Caenorhabditis elegans: one gene and its partners. The protein of the gene in region 1 interacts with the protein of each later gene in a pairwise test. Each region holds a gene or a part of one and is shown in the gene's direction. Other genes may lie near its edges.

Evidence for each region.
Region 2: the proteins of F31D5.2 (region 1) and C23H3.9 interact in a two-hybrid assay, tested with the Caenorhabditis elegans proteins (one large-scale study listed by BioGRID).
Region 3: the proteins of F31D5.2 (region 1) and unc-46 interact in a two-hybrid assay, tested with the Caenorhabditis elegans proteins (one large-scale study listed by BioGRID).

Annotation. Positions count from the first base shown.
Region 1 is NC_003280.10:4,213,230-4,218,589, forward strand, and holds F31D5.2 (UNC93-like protein MFSD11), read left to right. Parts: upstream 1-2,388; coding exon 2,389-2,549; intron 2,550-3,111; coding exon 3,112-3,299; intron 3,300-3,485; coding exon 3,486-3,582; intron 3,583-3,627; coding exon 3,628-3,703; intron 3,704-3,749; coding exon 3,750-3,873; intron 3,874-3,925; coding exon 3,926-4,015; intron 4,016-4,088; coding exon 4,089-4,359; intron 4,360-4,408; coding exon 4,409-4,544; intron 4,545-4,595; coding exon 4,596-4,746; intron 4,747-4,831; coding exon 4,832-4,950; 3' UTR 4,951-5,012; downstream 5,013-5,360. Other genes in the region: F31D5.7 (F-box domain-containing protein), read left to right, coding at 1-106.
Region 2 is NC_003280.10:76,087-81,446, reverse strand, and holds the start of C23H3.9 (Metallo-beta-lactamase domain-containing protein), read left to right. Parts: upstream 1-2,180; 5' UTR 2,181-3,018; intron 3,019-3,768; 5' UTR 3,769-4,151; coding exon 4,152-4,288; intron 4,289-4,409; coding exon 4,410-4,510; intron 4,511-5,360.
Region 3 is NC_003283.11:5,096,272-5,101,631, reverse strand, and holds unc-46 (Lysosome-associated membrane glycoprotein 5), read left to right. Parts: upstream 1-2,606; 5' UTR 2,607-2,728; coding exon 2,729-2,860; intron 2,861-2,911; coding exon 2,912-2,986; intron 2,987-3,055; coding exon 3,056-3,181; intron 3,182-3,231; coding exon 3,232-3,307; intron 3,308-3,365; coding exon 3,366-3,480; intron 3,481-3,525; coding exon 3,526-3,590; intron 3,591-4,077; coding exon 4,078-4,268; 3' UTR 4,269-4,557; downstream 4,558-5,360. Other genes in the region: srab-1 (G_PROTEIN_RECEP_F1_2 domain-containing protein), read left to right, coding at 1-378, 794-868, 918-1,025, 1,082-1,283, 1,341-1,534; C04F5.2 (Serpentine Receptor, class E (Epsilon)), read left to right, coding at 5,355-5,360.

The DNA of each region.
Region 1 (5,360 bases):
CGAAAAACACGTTGTTCTAACAGCCAAGTGGTATCCTCGTAATCTTGCTGGAACTCTCTTTGGATACGGCACTCTTAAGATTGTTCCGGCAGATTTAGCAGTTTAACATTTTTAACAATTTGATTTAATTTTTTTGCCATTCGTTATCTCTGAGCTTCCAATTTCACCCATTTCTTCTTTTTTGTTGATAATTTTCAGTTTAATAAAAGTTGATAAACGGTTAGAAGTTCTCGTTTCTTGTGACTGGAATTCAGAAATTTAAGAAATTCCAAACTTTCTTTGAGTTGAGTCTACACCTTTGAAGTATTGCAGGAACACAAGAGGAGGCATTTTTTATTGTGTTTATAAAAGAGTTGAACTTTAAAATTCCCGTATACTATTTCCTTTTATGTTCAGGTACCGGTTTTCTATGACAAATATCAGCAGTTTGTATGGGGTTTTATAGATGTGTGTTCAGATACTTTTGGATATTATAAGTGCAAACGAGTGCAGTACGGCCGGTGAGGAAATGATTAAAAACCATTCCTATGGTGCTAAACATCCACCTGTCGTAACAAAATTTTTTTGTTTAAAGTTTTAAAAATTTTTTATTGACAGGTCATTTTTGAAACAAAATTTTAAAAAAATTTCAAATTTTTTTTGGAAAATTTTACTATGATTTTTGACCATTTTAGCACTATAGGAAAGGTTTACAGAGTTCAGGATCCTGATGATCAAAAACCGCAAAAATATTATTCCTAAAAACGTTTACAGACAATAAAGTCCCGGCTTATGCTCATTTTTGAAGTTTTTGAAGGTAGCCAACAACTTCCGGGTAAACATATTGTTACATAGAACAGGAGTTTTTGTGAAAGTGGAATGTTTAAAATTTTAATGAAAATATTGTTCTAGCTCCCTTTGAATCAATTCATTAGTATTTGTTCAGCAGCAGTGAGACCGAAATCGACAAGTAGTTTTCCATTTCCTGATCAATTTTGAATGGAAAACTTGTAAAATTAATTAGTTTTGAGAACCGCGGGCATTTTTTTTTGGAACAAATGAAATACATCAAAAATTTGACGTAAAAGCAGAAAAACTATATAGATAGAATTGGTTAAAACCGTTTGAATAGAGTTTCAAAATTTTTAGGTATTATTGATTTTGAGTTGTAGTCTAGGTATACTCTAGTCAGGCGAGGTCTGCGTTGTAGGCAGGCAGGTACTTTTTTACCAAGTTGTAAGCTGTAAAAACCTCTAGACAATAAATAAGAATTTCCGATTATTGAAATATTTCAAACAAATTGAAATTTTTCCGACTAGAATTTTAATTCCAAAAAAATGTGTTTCTAGATAATTTTATGGAAAACAATTTTTATATCACAGTTATGTGATTTTCGACCGAAAATTATATCAAACTTTGATCAAAATTTCTTCAAAAATAAAATGAATTGCAAGAACAAAAAGAAAGAAGACCATCGGAAGTCTCATTCTCAATATTATTTCGCACATTAAACCGTCCGTTCTGATGGTTTTATGATCATTGTTTTGGCATTTGGCCGCCCCCCTGGTCTTCTGTGTCTCGTTTCAGGCGGAAAATATTGAATGAAATTGGGGATAGTTATTCGAAATTCATATAATGTTCACTTTCTATTATTATTGTTATCCCGTTTCTTTTTCTGTGTGTACATATATGTTTGTACATTGTGTATCACTTTCACTGTCACCTTATCATATCATCATTTTAAAGATTGTTTTTTTTTGTTGAATATTTGGGTCAGAAATTGATTTCTTTTAATATATGTTTCATTATAACAACCTTTAAAAAATATTTTCAACAATCCTATTTTTCTATTTGTTTCTCATTTTTTTAAAATAAACGTCGATGCAAATTTTATGATTTTTTCAGTCTAAAGTTAAAAATTAACCGAAAAATTTAGAACTCAGGTAGGCACGTAGGGATTTGATGCAGGTCGGGGCACGCTGTATTTAAGTGTAACGTTCTTCGAGAATTTTTTTTTCTTAAATTTGGTCTCAAATTCTTAAAAAAAGTTTAGACTTTTACCGATTCAAATATGTAGTTTTTAATCTGAAAATTACAGAAGTCAAAGTTCCAAACCCTAACCCAAATGCCAATTATAATTTACGAGTTCATGTTCATTTTTTCCTTTAGAAAATCCTTAATAATCCCAAAAAAATCACAAACCCCGCCTTTTTTTTTTCAATTTTCCGTTTCTCCTTTGCCACCCACATTATTCGTTTTGTTCCTCGTTGTTCAATTTTCTCTCTTTTCCCATCATTTTTGTGATCGCCTTTCACAATTGTTTTTGAGTTTGGAAATGTTTTATTTATCATTTTGATAAATGTTAAATATTTCCGAAAATTAATAGCAAAAAAAACTTGAAATTTCCAGATGGTGCTTCTGGATACGGGAACAAAAAATGTGATACGACTATCAGTTTCTTTTATGCTTTTGTTTTTTGCATATATGAGTCAAGAGTTTATACAGGAGCCGTTAATAGAAGAAGAGCACCGAAGAGGAGGAAATATTGATCCTCATGCCGGATATCATAGGTAAGTTGTGAGCAGGCGTCAGCAGGCGTCAGCGGGCGTCAGCGGGAGTCAGCGTACGAGTTTTGTACTGTATGTTTGCTTCAAACGTTGCAAAATCAAAGAAGCAATGTTCATAAACAATTTTTGTGAAACTGCGAAAATCTCAGGGGATAATCTCCAAAACTCACTCACTTTTTTTTTGGTAAAAAAGCAGTTGCAGAAAAATTGTTCTTTTGGTTTTTCTTTTCAATTTTAGTTCAAAGTTCAAACATAATAGGTTCGTGTGTACGTAGGCAGGCATTTTGGCAGGTTTGCCTATCACTTGCCTGCCTACCTACTCGCCTGCCTACTTAAAATATTTTAATACCAAAAAGTTCAATGCAAACATATTTTCAACTCTAGAAATTTGAACATTTGCATAATCTATCGGTCATCTCGTTTTTATAGTAATTGGGAAGTCTACGGTTTTAATCTGATTATCAAAACAATACTAACACCAGAGATCATAACGGGTCACAATTTGTAGAAATATCAACAAGCTCTATGAATAGGGTCAACATGATTTCAAATTGCTTATTTTCAGTTTCGCGATTCTCTACTTCTTCTTCACCATTGCCTGCCTACTGATTGCTCCAGTGGTTGACTTGATAACTGCGAAATGGTCGATGGTTGTTGGATTCTTCACGTACATTGCATTTCAGTTGGGATTTCTTGAATTGAACAGTGCATACCTGTACACCACATCGGCTCTTTTGGGAATTGGAGCAGCTTGTGAGTTTTTTGAAGTTTTGGCTGAAGTACTTTACTTTGGTAGTAAATATCTCGGTTCATTTTGGAGATATCAAAACATTTTCAACTATGGAACTATAGAAAAAGAAATTTTGAATATTTTCTCAGTTGAGAACTTTTTGATATAAAAAAGGAGAATTGAGATATAGGCTGACAAAGAAATTTCAGTCCTTTGGGTTGGTCAAGGAAAGTACCTCACGGAAAATTGCACAAGTGAGACTATCGAACGCAACACTGCTCTAATGTGGCTCATTTTCAAATTCAGGTATGTTTTACTTAGCCTAACATCTAACAAATTATATAATTTCAGCCTCCTAGGCGGCGGGGTCTTCCTTTACTTCATGTTCCAGGATCAAACTATGCACGAGCTGGTGCTAAGTGGAGATGTAAATTTTTCAGTTAAAAATCTATACTGAATATTCAAATTTTAAGTTCAAAATCTTTGTCTACGTGTTCTGTTCCATCTCGGTAGTTGCTGCAGTCAATACTGCATTCCTTCCAGCGCCGGCGTATGTACCAGAGAAGAGGGAAGCAGTTACATTAGCCGGAACATTGAGTTGGTCCAAACTTTTTGAGTTTTACGTTACTTTTACGTTAGTGATTTGCAGAAGTAACATTCCGGTTAATCCGTCAAACTCCGATGCTCCTGCTAGCGTTTATTTTCTTGTACACCGGGTTCTCCAGGTCGTTTTGGATTGGTAGGCAGGCACATAGGCTTCATCTCAAACCTTACAGCAATCTACCCGACCTACTTCATCTCAAACCTTACAGCAATCTACCCGACCTGCATCAAATTCACCTCCAAACTCGGAGAAAACACCACAAAACTTCTAGCAATTAGTGGAATTGCAACCGGGATTGGGCAAATTGTAGCTGGTGGAATATTTTCAGTACTCGGAAAACGTGTCAGAATACTCGGAAAAGATATGATTGTAGTGATTGCTTGTGTACTTCATTTGATATGTTTTGTATTGATTTATCTGTTCTTCCCATATGATGCACCACTACGTCCTACACAGAATGTTGGGATTTTTGAGCCAAAGTTTGTATTTTTTGGGAATTTTTAAGTTGAACAATTATGGATTTTTCAGTGCCTACATTGCAATATTCTGCTCTGGGCTTCTTGGTTTCGGCGATGCAATTATTCAGACTCAAGTCTACTCGTTCCTCTGTGACGGGTACTCTGAAGAATCGTCTCACGCATTTGCTCTATTCAAGTTCTACAGTGTAAGTTTCAACTTGAAGGGTCTGTCTAGGCTCATATATACTAAATTTCAGGCCATATCCTCCACAATAGCTTTCTTCGTATCAAAATACTTTACCTTGGCCGGTCATCTTCTACTTTATGGAGCTTTTGCCATTCTATCAGCCATCGCAGCAGTCATGGCTCAAAAGCTATATTTCCACAAGACACGGCATTTCTTTCAAGGTTTGTTTTATTTTTTGACAACCTAGCGGCTTGCCTACCTATCTGCCTACCTACCTACAGCCTGCCTACAACCTTAATATTTCAGAAAACACAAAAATCCACCCTGCCATCGAATCTGAGCCAATAAAAATTCAAATCAGTGAGAGCGGATCAACGATAGAGTCTTCGGAGAAAACGGAAAGAAAAATTACTGATTTAAATTGATTTTTTTTTGCATTTTCTGAATAATACTTTGACATAATTGATATTAATAAATAATACTCGAAACTTTATCAGACTCCACCTATATTCTGACACTACAACCTGTACGGTGTCTGCAATATTTGACCAATTTTGGAAAAAAATGTTGCTTGTTTCACAAATATGAAATTTTCCACGTAGCGTCCGGAATGTTAATCCCTATTTTTTATACGTTTTTTTACAGTTATGTTCTGTGATTGAGAGTCACGACGCCAAAATAGTTACTTTAACCGTACATATTTCCGCCCTGTGATACTACAAAAAGCGAAACAATTTTTTTAAACAATATTTATTGAATTTTTTCTGACTCTTCAATTAATAACAACACTAATTATTTGATCCGTTCATAGACTTTTCCCATCTGTTTCCATATT
Region 2 (5,360 bases), 4.1 Mb from region 1:
AAATCTATCCCTCTTCCTATGCACAAAAACAACACCACAGTAGGATTCCCCCGCACAAAAGTGGCACAATGAGATGACCGCATGTTTACCTAGACACACATCTTCTAAGCCCTGAGCATTCGCACGACAACGATGCTCCGGTAATCCGTTGGTGCGGACGAGGCGAACGGAAACCGAACACATTGGAGTGTGTTGAAGTTTGCTTCTTGATTAGTACTTTATATTTGAGTTACTTCTTATTATCTTACACCTATAAAATTGTCATGAAAAGCTACAAGTGCCAGCCAAAGCTTGACATAATACTATACACAGAGTGAAACAACATCGTTCTTACTAGAATATAACAATATAATTCTTGGTGTCTATCTAAAACTGACTATCAAATCTGACCCTTCAGAAGTTTAGAGATATTGCTGGTTGATTCGTTCACGGTAAAAATGAATCTCAAAACAGTATGAGTCAATAGCAAGGGAAGTATCAGAAATTAATGCCAATTAAAAGAAAACCTTCTAAATGTGCTCCTACAAAGTTTTGAGCGACAGATGAGCACTTTGGAAATTAATCTGAAAATTCAAGGCAAAAACTCTTGTTACAACAATTTTCTGAAAATTTGTCAATGTTTAATGATACAATGATTCCTCCATTTAAGATAAAAAATGTGTCAGTTTTTCCAGAAAGTTTCCAAAAACATTATGTGAACAAAAGCTTTCGAAAAGTATATTTTCGTAAAAATAGTGTTACTCGGTTCCAGACTACAGAGTTATGAAAAATTAAAAACTCCTCAAAAATACTGACTCTCAAAATTTGCCGAGCTTAACAAACTCCGAAAAATATGAAATTTTTCATTTTTTTGGAGTACTGAAACTACTGAATTCTTAACACACATATGCTTTCTGAATAAGTCCCGTGTAGTGTGTCTGCTTAAACATCAAAATAACCCAATAGATCGGAAAATTTGTCAAATCTACTTTTTTTGAAATTTGCCGTTTTGACAAATTCGGAAAATTTGCCGAACTCGGCATGTTCGCACACCCCTGATCTGAACTAAATTTATCTACCCACGAAAGTATAGAATAACCCCATTCACTATCAAAAGGAATTTAGCGAAAACCGTGTCTTGTGCTCTATGTGATGTTTGCAAAACATCAGCAGTGCAGATTAAAAAGGAAAATCAGTTAACAACACCTAGGGGCAAGCAAAAAGAGCGTGAATTGAAAAAGAACAAAGAGATATTTAAAAATGCGCAATCATCAGAAATCATAATTAACAGAGCAATCTTTCCGATGATAAGCCGCCGAGGGAATGATGTTAATTTATATAACACTAAATAAACAACTTCGGTGTCGTTTTTGAAATGGGACCGAATCGCCTGATTCGATTTTTTTAGTTGAAAGTGCAATTTGCACTCACCCCATTTTTATATTGATTCCCAAGTTATTGTTTGAAGCTTCAGTTTTCCATACGTTTGGAGGCATCACATTTTTGTCAAAGCGAATTTTTCTCAAAACAATTATCGAGAAAAAAATTTTAGGCAACGGTTAACTTTCACAGAATTTTTGAGCACATATTCAAAGCTTTCAACAAAAATGTTTTACATTTTGGCGCTAACTTGTTAAGGTTAAATACTAAAGCAATATGGCGCAATCTTCCGTTTTGTCAAATGCTGCTGCTGTTCCATTAGCTTACATGTATGAAAATGTGAAAGATGTTAGTTGGTATTTTAAACATGACGAATGTTTGTTTCCCATGCGATTTTCTACATAATGATTTTCAAATCAAATCATTGTGGAAATGTGAACCTTCCAAATAAGAACAAGTCCTTTACTTTCACAAATATTACCTAGGCTGTTTTAATCAAACATTAGATATAATAACCAAACATGAAAAATTGCATCATATAGTTCTTTATCAAGTATTCTTTATTAATCAAACAGAGCTATTAAAGATCTAGGTCCATTCACCGCAATTTGTGGATTATTCGATGTTTGATTAATACGAAGTTTGCCCATTTTTAATGTTGGCAGTGGTCCAACAGTGTTTTAATGTTTTTCCAGTAACACGAGTTCAAAATGTTTCAACGATATTCCAACGAACACCCGTTTGGTATTTGCTCCGACTTTGGTACTTCTTGCATGAAGTGTAAATACTTCCCACTGCAGATTTCATCGTCGATTCCGATGCACATACCCGCTCGCCAATAGAAACGCGATGTACAAATAGGAACGATTGCAAAACAGAAAAAAGAAAACAAGAATGGAATCTGTTTGAAAAAGAGGCGCCATTCATTGCGTGGGTTGAATATGCGTAGAATTGCAACACACTTCGAGCAAAGGTCGAATATTTTTCTTTGTATGATGAATGAGTACTGTACAACATCTAATGAGCCTATTATTTCGAAAAATAATTTCAGTTCGCACGAACTTGAGAAATTTTTATGTGTGTGTGGTTTGCAATACCTAATTGACGATTAGATCATTGAGTTTTAAGATGTAAATTTTAGTTTTCAAGCTTCTTTTTTTTCATGAAGCCCTCAACTCTAACTTCTCAAGTAAAAATATAATAAACAATAATTCTTCCACTGTAGACGTAAGTAACATTGCAATAAATCATCAAAATGTAGCTTGTGACCATTTTTCTACAAAGAATCTAAAAACTGAACTCTCAATCCACTTTTTCATCATTTTTTCAGCTACGGCGTCGCCGCATCGTGCACCACGGCTCTTGAATGATGATCCAACAACTTCTGTAATAAAAAAACGGTTGGCGGCGCGAAGGTTCTCTTCACGAACGAACGTAACAAAAGGATACCCGACGAAAATTGGGAGGTTCTCGCCGAGAGAAAGAACCGCCGCGAGGGGAAAGTTGTTTTGTAAATAAATAAATACAGATAGGTACTGCTCCTGTTGCTGCTGCACCGCCACTCGTGTGATGATGAGAGGAAGAGAGAACGGGTGGAATGAAGAAAAGCAATGAGATGACCCTTCTCACCCGTCCGATAGATCTGAGTACATCTAGCCGGTTAGTGCAAAGAAGGCAAAAAACTTTCAAGTATTTTCGTGACAGATTTTAGAACTTGTTCCGAATTTATTCCCTCAAATGAGAGGCAATTTAATTAAATTAGTATGTAATGCAATTTTTAATTATTATCAGTACAATACCGTGGTACTTTTGGACTACTATAGGCATACTGAAAATTATTTATATGCGCGGCTGGTAAACTGAAATTTTACTCGGTCACAAAAGAATACAGAATAATTGTAATAACTGTAGCACAACATGATAACAACAACGGTTAATTACCGTATATTTTTTATTTCTGCTAAACTCCACTGTTCTACTTTGAAAAGTTAAACCAAGGTTCATTTTGAATATATCAATAAAATTGATTGAAACTTATAGAAAAAAGAACATTATTCATGTTATGAACTTTTCATTAAAAACAACGGAGAAGCTAAAGTGGAACAATACGAAATATACGGTATTGTTGGTGGCGTGAGAGGTTGCGCAAAATTCAAAACCACAATTGTCGAAAATTTTTGGCAATGGCCGTTTTTCCGGCGGATTTGGCAATTTGCCAGATTGCTGATTTGCCGGAAGTTTCCAATTCCAGCAATGTGCCCATTTGCCGCTTTGTCGGAAATTTTAAATTCCGGCAATTTGTCGAATTGCCGGAATGAAATCGTTTCTCCCTTTTCACTGAGCACACTGACACACACACACACACAATTTTCTTGATATTTTCTACCATATCCGTGTGTTCTTTTTTAGGATCCTCCTTTCAATCTGCGAGAAAGAATAATACAAAAGTGTGAGAAACGAACGCCATAGGATCAGAAGGAAGAGCGACAAGCTTGTGCACACACACACACACACACACATACACTGTAATCTCCGCCCCTTTTGCACAGGGCGCTTCTTTTTCCGCGCGGTAAGGAGCTCGACGCACAATTTCGCTTTTGACCCCACCCCATCATCCTATTGAGCACAAGAACTCCAAAACTCTCACATAAAATCGTCGAAACGAAGTGTGCATTCTTCAACAGTCTCTCTCGTGTTAACTATATACATATTCTGCTCATATAATTTACACACAACCACCCACACAAAAATCTTATTTAATATTTGTGTGCACACATTTAATCTAACAAAATATGAAGTTATTCTTTATTGCTACTGTGTTACTGATCAGCGGCACGCATGGAGCTACAACTGAACAATTGAGACAATGGATTTTGAACAACCGAGAGAGTCTCAATGGACAAAATGACTTGGCTGGAAGCATTCTGAGGTAACATTTTTTCCCCTGTTTTACGTGTCTGATAAACCGGCTCGTTTCTAAACTAAAAATAATTCCCCAATTGTCATACGACTGGGGAACTACCCCTAATAATTCTCAGCTCTGCTTCCAGACTATTCGGATGGGGATCCGACAAGACGACAGAAGCCACAACGACCGAAACCACACCGGAAGCGCCGACGACGTCCGAACCAAGATCTCACAGTCGTGACGGTATGCGATTTTTCTGTCAATCATCCCCGTTTTCATTTGATTAGGTGTTAACAGTCTCTCTGTGAGGGTGATGCTCTTTTGTTTGCACTAGTGATAAGAAATCTTCCGTGTGATGAATCGTGCGTGGACTGTCATCTTTTTTCTTGATGTGACCGCTGGTTACGTAATGGCCAAAAAGTCTAATGTAAAGTTCGCTTTAAAAAAATGGCTGGGCTAAAACAACGGATACATATGAATAGCAGAACGATATCTAGGACAATCTGAGAAATTTATCTTTCACTCTTACTATTAGTTTACTAATAGAAAAAAATTTTCGAAATTAAACAAAAAAAATTACTTCATATATCACAATTTGTTACAACTATTAATAAATCCGTAGGCTGAAATCAGTTTTAAAATTCGACAAATTTTGTATACAATTTAACAGATCCAGTAGCGTAAGGTTTTGACTTTCAGTTTTGGCGAATTAAAACATTTTCGAAAGAGCAATTCTTTAGAAATTTAACTTAACTGGAGTAGCGCCAGTGGGGATGTTTTTTTTAACTCTGATTCCAAAATTACCCGAATATCATAGTAAAACTCTTCAAAAAAATTTTTTGAAATTTTTTTATTTACTGTCAAAAAGTGACAATTACTCAGTTTTTGCCACTCATAATCTCGGAAGTCGACTAAAAAATTGTTTTCTACGATTTTTATACTTTAATTTTGATTTAATCATTTGTTTTTCTAGGGGTCGGAACATGCGACATTGCTCTAGATTTCCTTGAAAACTCATATTTAAAAAAAATTTGGCTCATTCCACATTTGCCTTTTTGTTTGAAAATAAGGCACAATTGTTAATGTCACATAT
Region 3 (5,360 bases), on another chromosome or scaffold:
GGTATGACCACCCTCCTCTGCATTCTATGCGTTCCATGCACCATTTACTCATTTTTGGCAATTCAAAAAGCCACAAAACTTCATTTCAACAGCAAGTGTATCTTTCATACTCTCACCATTTTTGCGTTTATCCACATGATTGTTCGAATTATTTTACACGGAAAAGATCTTCTGAATTACGTTGGACCGTGGATGAGCGGATGCGAAATATTTCCGTCTAGAAGCAGATGTGAACTCCGGAAATTGTACAAGATTTCTGCGTTTGTGGTAGAGGTCACTCCGTTTGTGTTGACGGCAGAACGATTTGTGGCAACGTTTAGAGCGAGACACTACGAGAATAGATATAAATGGTGTGGAGTTTTATTGAACATTTTTCATGTGAGTTTCGGATTTTTTAATCAGTACTTGGTAGTAGGCCGACTACAAAAATGAATTGTCTATTTCAAAATGTTTTTAAATTAATGGTTTTACTCGCATTTTCTTATGTGATTTTATTGAAACCTTGAAATTAGAAAAGAACAACCGATAAAATTAAGCAAAAAAAAAATTGCGAAGCCTCATCCACAATTGGAAAACTTCTGCAAGATTAGAGTTTAAATTGAAAAAATTTAAAATAAATTAAAATAAATGCAAAAAAAAATTGTCAAATTTTTCAAAAACTGTGGGCATTTTTGATTTTAAAAAATTCAAAAGAAATGTTTCTTTTTCAAAAATTTTACAATGATATTTGGAAATTTTAGCACAATACGAGAAGTGACGCTACTCTACGCCCGTCAACTTTTTTGATTTTCAGATTTCCCTTGCTCTATTTCTTTTTACAATTCAGTCATCTGAAAAGGTCGGCGGCGATATAATCTATTATTGTTGGGTAAGTAATTCAATAACACATTCTAAATTTCTATCAAAAAATTTTATAGATGTCATCTACCGGAAATCGATATATGCTAAACCTACCTATTTTCGTAATTGTTTTCAGTCAATTGATAACTATTCCCGCGTTATTATATCTTCTCAGAAAGAATGAGGTTAGTTTTAAATAATATAAAGTTCAATTAAAATGTTTTCCCAGACTTTTTTCCAGAAATTTCGCGAAGCTTCCTTGCAAAAACGATCGACATTATCTCAAAGATATCAACTATCACAAAACCTGCAAACATTGACAAAATTCCGAATAGTTAGCACAGTGACATGGATTTATGTTACTTACAATGCAGCAGCGACGTTCGGAGTTCATTTTTTTTTGAAATCAATGTCATCAGCGGGGCAATTTGCAATTATAGAAAGTTGGTTTTAAAACAATTCAGAAAAATTTCCAACTACTTTTATTTCTAATTTTTCAGTCGTTCACTGCCTTCCTCTCTACTATTTGATACTTATTTTCCTAATGGTCAAGGAAGACAAGAAGCCACACAGACAATTCTCTATAAAAGTAGATCATTATGAACCGCAATATTTTAATGATTTGCAAAAGTTTTTTGATCAGTCTTTTGACAAAGTAAAAAAAACCAAATCGGTAACATTTGTTGTTTCTTAATAAATGATTTATTGCATAGTGTCAATTCTTGTTTGCTTTGAAAGTTTTTGGATGTTTTGGAAAGTTTCCAGATGTTTTCAGTTTTCGGAAAATCAACAAAAAATTGCTAGAACTTTCTGAAAACTTCTAGAACCTCTGTAAGATTTTCATACACTAACACGTATTTAGAAAGTTCTAAAAATCTGTGTTTCTAAAGTATTCTATAATAAAAGTCTCTAGAACACTTTAGTAGCTCTCCTGAATTTTTGAGGATATTTCTGAAGTCTATCAAATTTTAAACAATTTACTGTCAAAAAATTCCAGATTTTTCCATAAGTTCTAAATTGTTTTCAAAAGTTTCTAAAAGTTTCCAAAACTTTATAGAAGGTTCCAGAATTATCACAGAGTTTTTCAGAATTTTCCAGAATTTTCTAAACTGAATTTCCTGAATTTCAAAGAATATTTCTAAAGCCTTTCGAGTTTTTGAAAATTTACATGAAATTACAGATTTAACCATACGTTTTAAATTTTTTTTCAAGAGTTTCCCAAAATTTCCAAAAGTTTCAAAACATTCGAAAAAATTTTTAAAAATTTCTCAAAGTATCCAGAATGAAGTTGCTAGAAGTCTCTCGGATTTTCAGAATTTTTCAGAAGTTTCCAAATTTTTCCAAGATTTTCCAAAACCCAACTCAATATTTAAAAACTCATTTCTTGGTCTACAGTAATTCTACAATACTCCTACAGTACCCCTAGAGTACAGATACTTTTAGAAATTTAAGGAGCATATTCTATTTTTCAGTTGAAAATTGCAGTTTCACGAATATTATTCTGTATTATTCCACAAAGTGGACAAATTTACTTGATAAAAACCAAAAATATATATACATTCGAAATTCATTTTCTCTATTTGGTTCTGAAACTCCATTTAGTTAAAATCTAAAATATTCCCCAAACTTAAAATCATTCCAACTAAATGTGATAGTTGTACATGCGGCAAATGACAAAAACGATGAAAAATAGAAAGAAAGAAAGATGGGTCGTAGAATGGAATACATCAAAAGAGCTTAAAAGTGTGTGCTCATTTTGGGGGTCCTGGTCCTCCAATCCGTGCTCCACACGGAATTATTTGTTCTTCTTCTTCTTCTTCGTCGCTTTTCTTCATCTTCAAAAGTGTCTCCTCAACATCCTTCGTTTCTTCGCAAAAACAAGATTTTAATGAATTTGTTTTACTTTCTACTGATTAGCAGTTTCACTGATGCTCTCACAACTTCCACTGCAATTACAAGCACCGGTATAGAATCAAGTTTTGTTCATGAAAATCAAACAATTGGATTGAAAAAGGAAAATGTTTGTTTATTATACCAAAAATGTTTCAATTATAAAAATTGTTAATTACAGGGGGACACCTGTATCAGTGTGACATTTCAAGTCAAAATACTAAATCAACAAAACAACAATAGTGTTCCAATTGACGTAAGTTATTAAGTCGATTTCAGTTCCATATACACAAAATTTCTAACTAAATGTTACTTAAAAATTCAGTTTCATTTGCCATCTGGACTCATCAAAGGAAATTGTGCTGTTACTCGAAAGAGCAAAGCTGTCATATCATCTACCATAGAAGAGACCGACGGAAGAATGAAAACTCTAAAATTTGTTTTTAGAACTGTTAGTTAACTATCATACTTTCATCGATTTAAAATTGTTTTTACTTACAGGAAGAAATGCGTGCAAAGCGCCTTGATGAATTGAGATGGCAATTGAACAAAGTGATCTACGAGGAAAAATTCGCTGGTACATTAATATAAAAAAAAGCATTTTTCATAAGACTTCATGAGCAAGTCTCTTTCAGGTAGTTCTGCAGTATTTGAATCTGATAACTCATCAGTTATCTTCTCGGCTCCACTGACGCAAAAATATGTTTGTGAAGATAGAATTAATGTGACATTGCACAGCGTAAACTTTGAGTAAGTTTTAAAGCTATGATTTTAATAAAAACTGAGAATTTTCAGTTTTCCGATATTGGTGATGTTCTCTCCAGAGATTGATGTTCAGCCGTATGGACCAAAAAGCAATTGTAGGTTTATTAGGAAAAAGAAGAAAGAAAAAAATGTTTCGAGAGGCTCGGGGAAGGAAAGAGGGATGGAGTTCATTTTTCAGTGGATTTAAAACTGAACTAGAAAAAGTCGATCTAATATTTTGCCAGTGAATTTATTTGAATACTTCCATTACTCTGGAAGTGGATTTATGCAGGCATGTTTTAATGATTTTAAGGGCATCTAAAAGTCTAGGAGTAGGCAAACATTATGATGTCTATTTGCAAACATTTCTTTTTTTTGGAATCATGTGTTAAAAAAATGGCTGACGGAGTACTAAAATGACAAATTATGCCATGAGAGAGTTTTAAAAATTTCGAAATTTATTTAAGTTTGAAAAAAATTACTGGAAAAAATACTGAAAATTGTAAAATTTCAGCTGCTTTATCTGAAATTAAAAAAAAACTTCTGGTAAAAGTCAATTATCATATTACCTTTCACAAGTTAACAAAAATAAATATTTTTCAGTTTACATCTGCGAACGATCTCGCAAACGGACACTTTCCGAGTCCCTTCAACATCGTTCCACTGTTTTCTGCGGGGTTGTACTGGCCCTCTCATCAATTGCTCATATAGTTGGGCATATGCTTCGACGACACTTTATGCCTCATCGAAAAGAGCTTTATGAGAATTTGGATAAACTTCCGGCAATGAACTAGAATATCTTTAGTGCAAAAACATTTTTCTGTAATTTTTTCTTTCACGAAAATCAATTTGCTTTCTGATCGTGAGCTAATAAAACGTTGAAGGTTGTAGACGAAATATGTCGTAGATTGAATTAGACTAAACTTCGTTTTTTCTTGTTACTCTTTCGTGTGATTTATGTAAATTCTTCCAAACAAAAATTTTATGTGAATTCCCAGTTTCTTTCCCTTTATATTTATACTTTATTTGGATATATGTATTAGAAATAATGTCTACTCACAATGAAACAAATGGTATGTTGAAGTATATTATTTACTGAACTAGCAAGTTTTAGATATTTTCAAGAAACTGAAACCTTTGTATTAATTAAAAGTATATATTACGAGTTATACAAGTTCTAATAGCCTACTGGAGAGAACGGCTTCCCAGAAACTTTGGGGTATTTTCTATTACGTATTCAATAGTTTATCTGAAAGCGTAAAAACGACTTTATGCCAGTAATATTTTTTGAATATCATTATTTGAAATTAGAAAAAAAAAATGCTTTGTCTTACAACAAACAAACAATATCTTACAACAATATATTACAACAAAAGTGTTTTACTTTGTAAAACTTGTTCGTTGGGTGTTTGCGTTGGTTTATTTACATTTTCAACCTAGGCTACTACATAGATGATCTCAAAAAACTCCCCAGACGTTGGGTGTCTATAGACTAAAAATTTGTAGTAGTTAGTTTGCCAACAAAAAATAACTCAAATATGCAAAAAAGGTTAATGATAAAACACATAAAACATTTGCCGATTGGTGGAACAAAGAATAATTTGACGATAAAAACCTTGGAATCAAACTCCATTTCAACGCAGAAATTCCCACGAAAACTTTTTTTTTGTTCGAACCCAATTGCTCCCTATTCCAATGAGAATTGAAAAAAGGGTTTCTAACATCAGGCCAAGCTTTTTTTCTGCTCATCTAACCTGTTATTATGTGCTCACATATTATTCGCCAACTAGACAAACCGAAAGCTAAAGTTCTAGAAATTCACTCTCGCTCAGCTTTTTCTATTTCTAATTTAACAAAATATTTTCTAACTTTCAGAAGAAATGTAT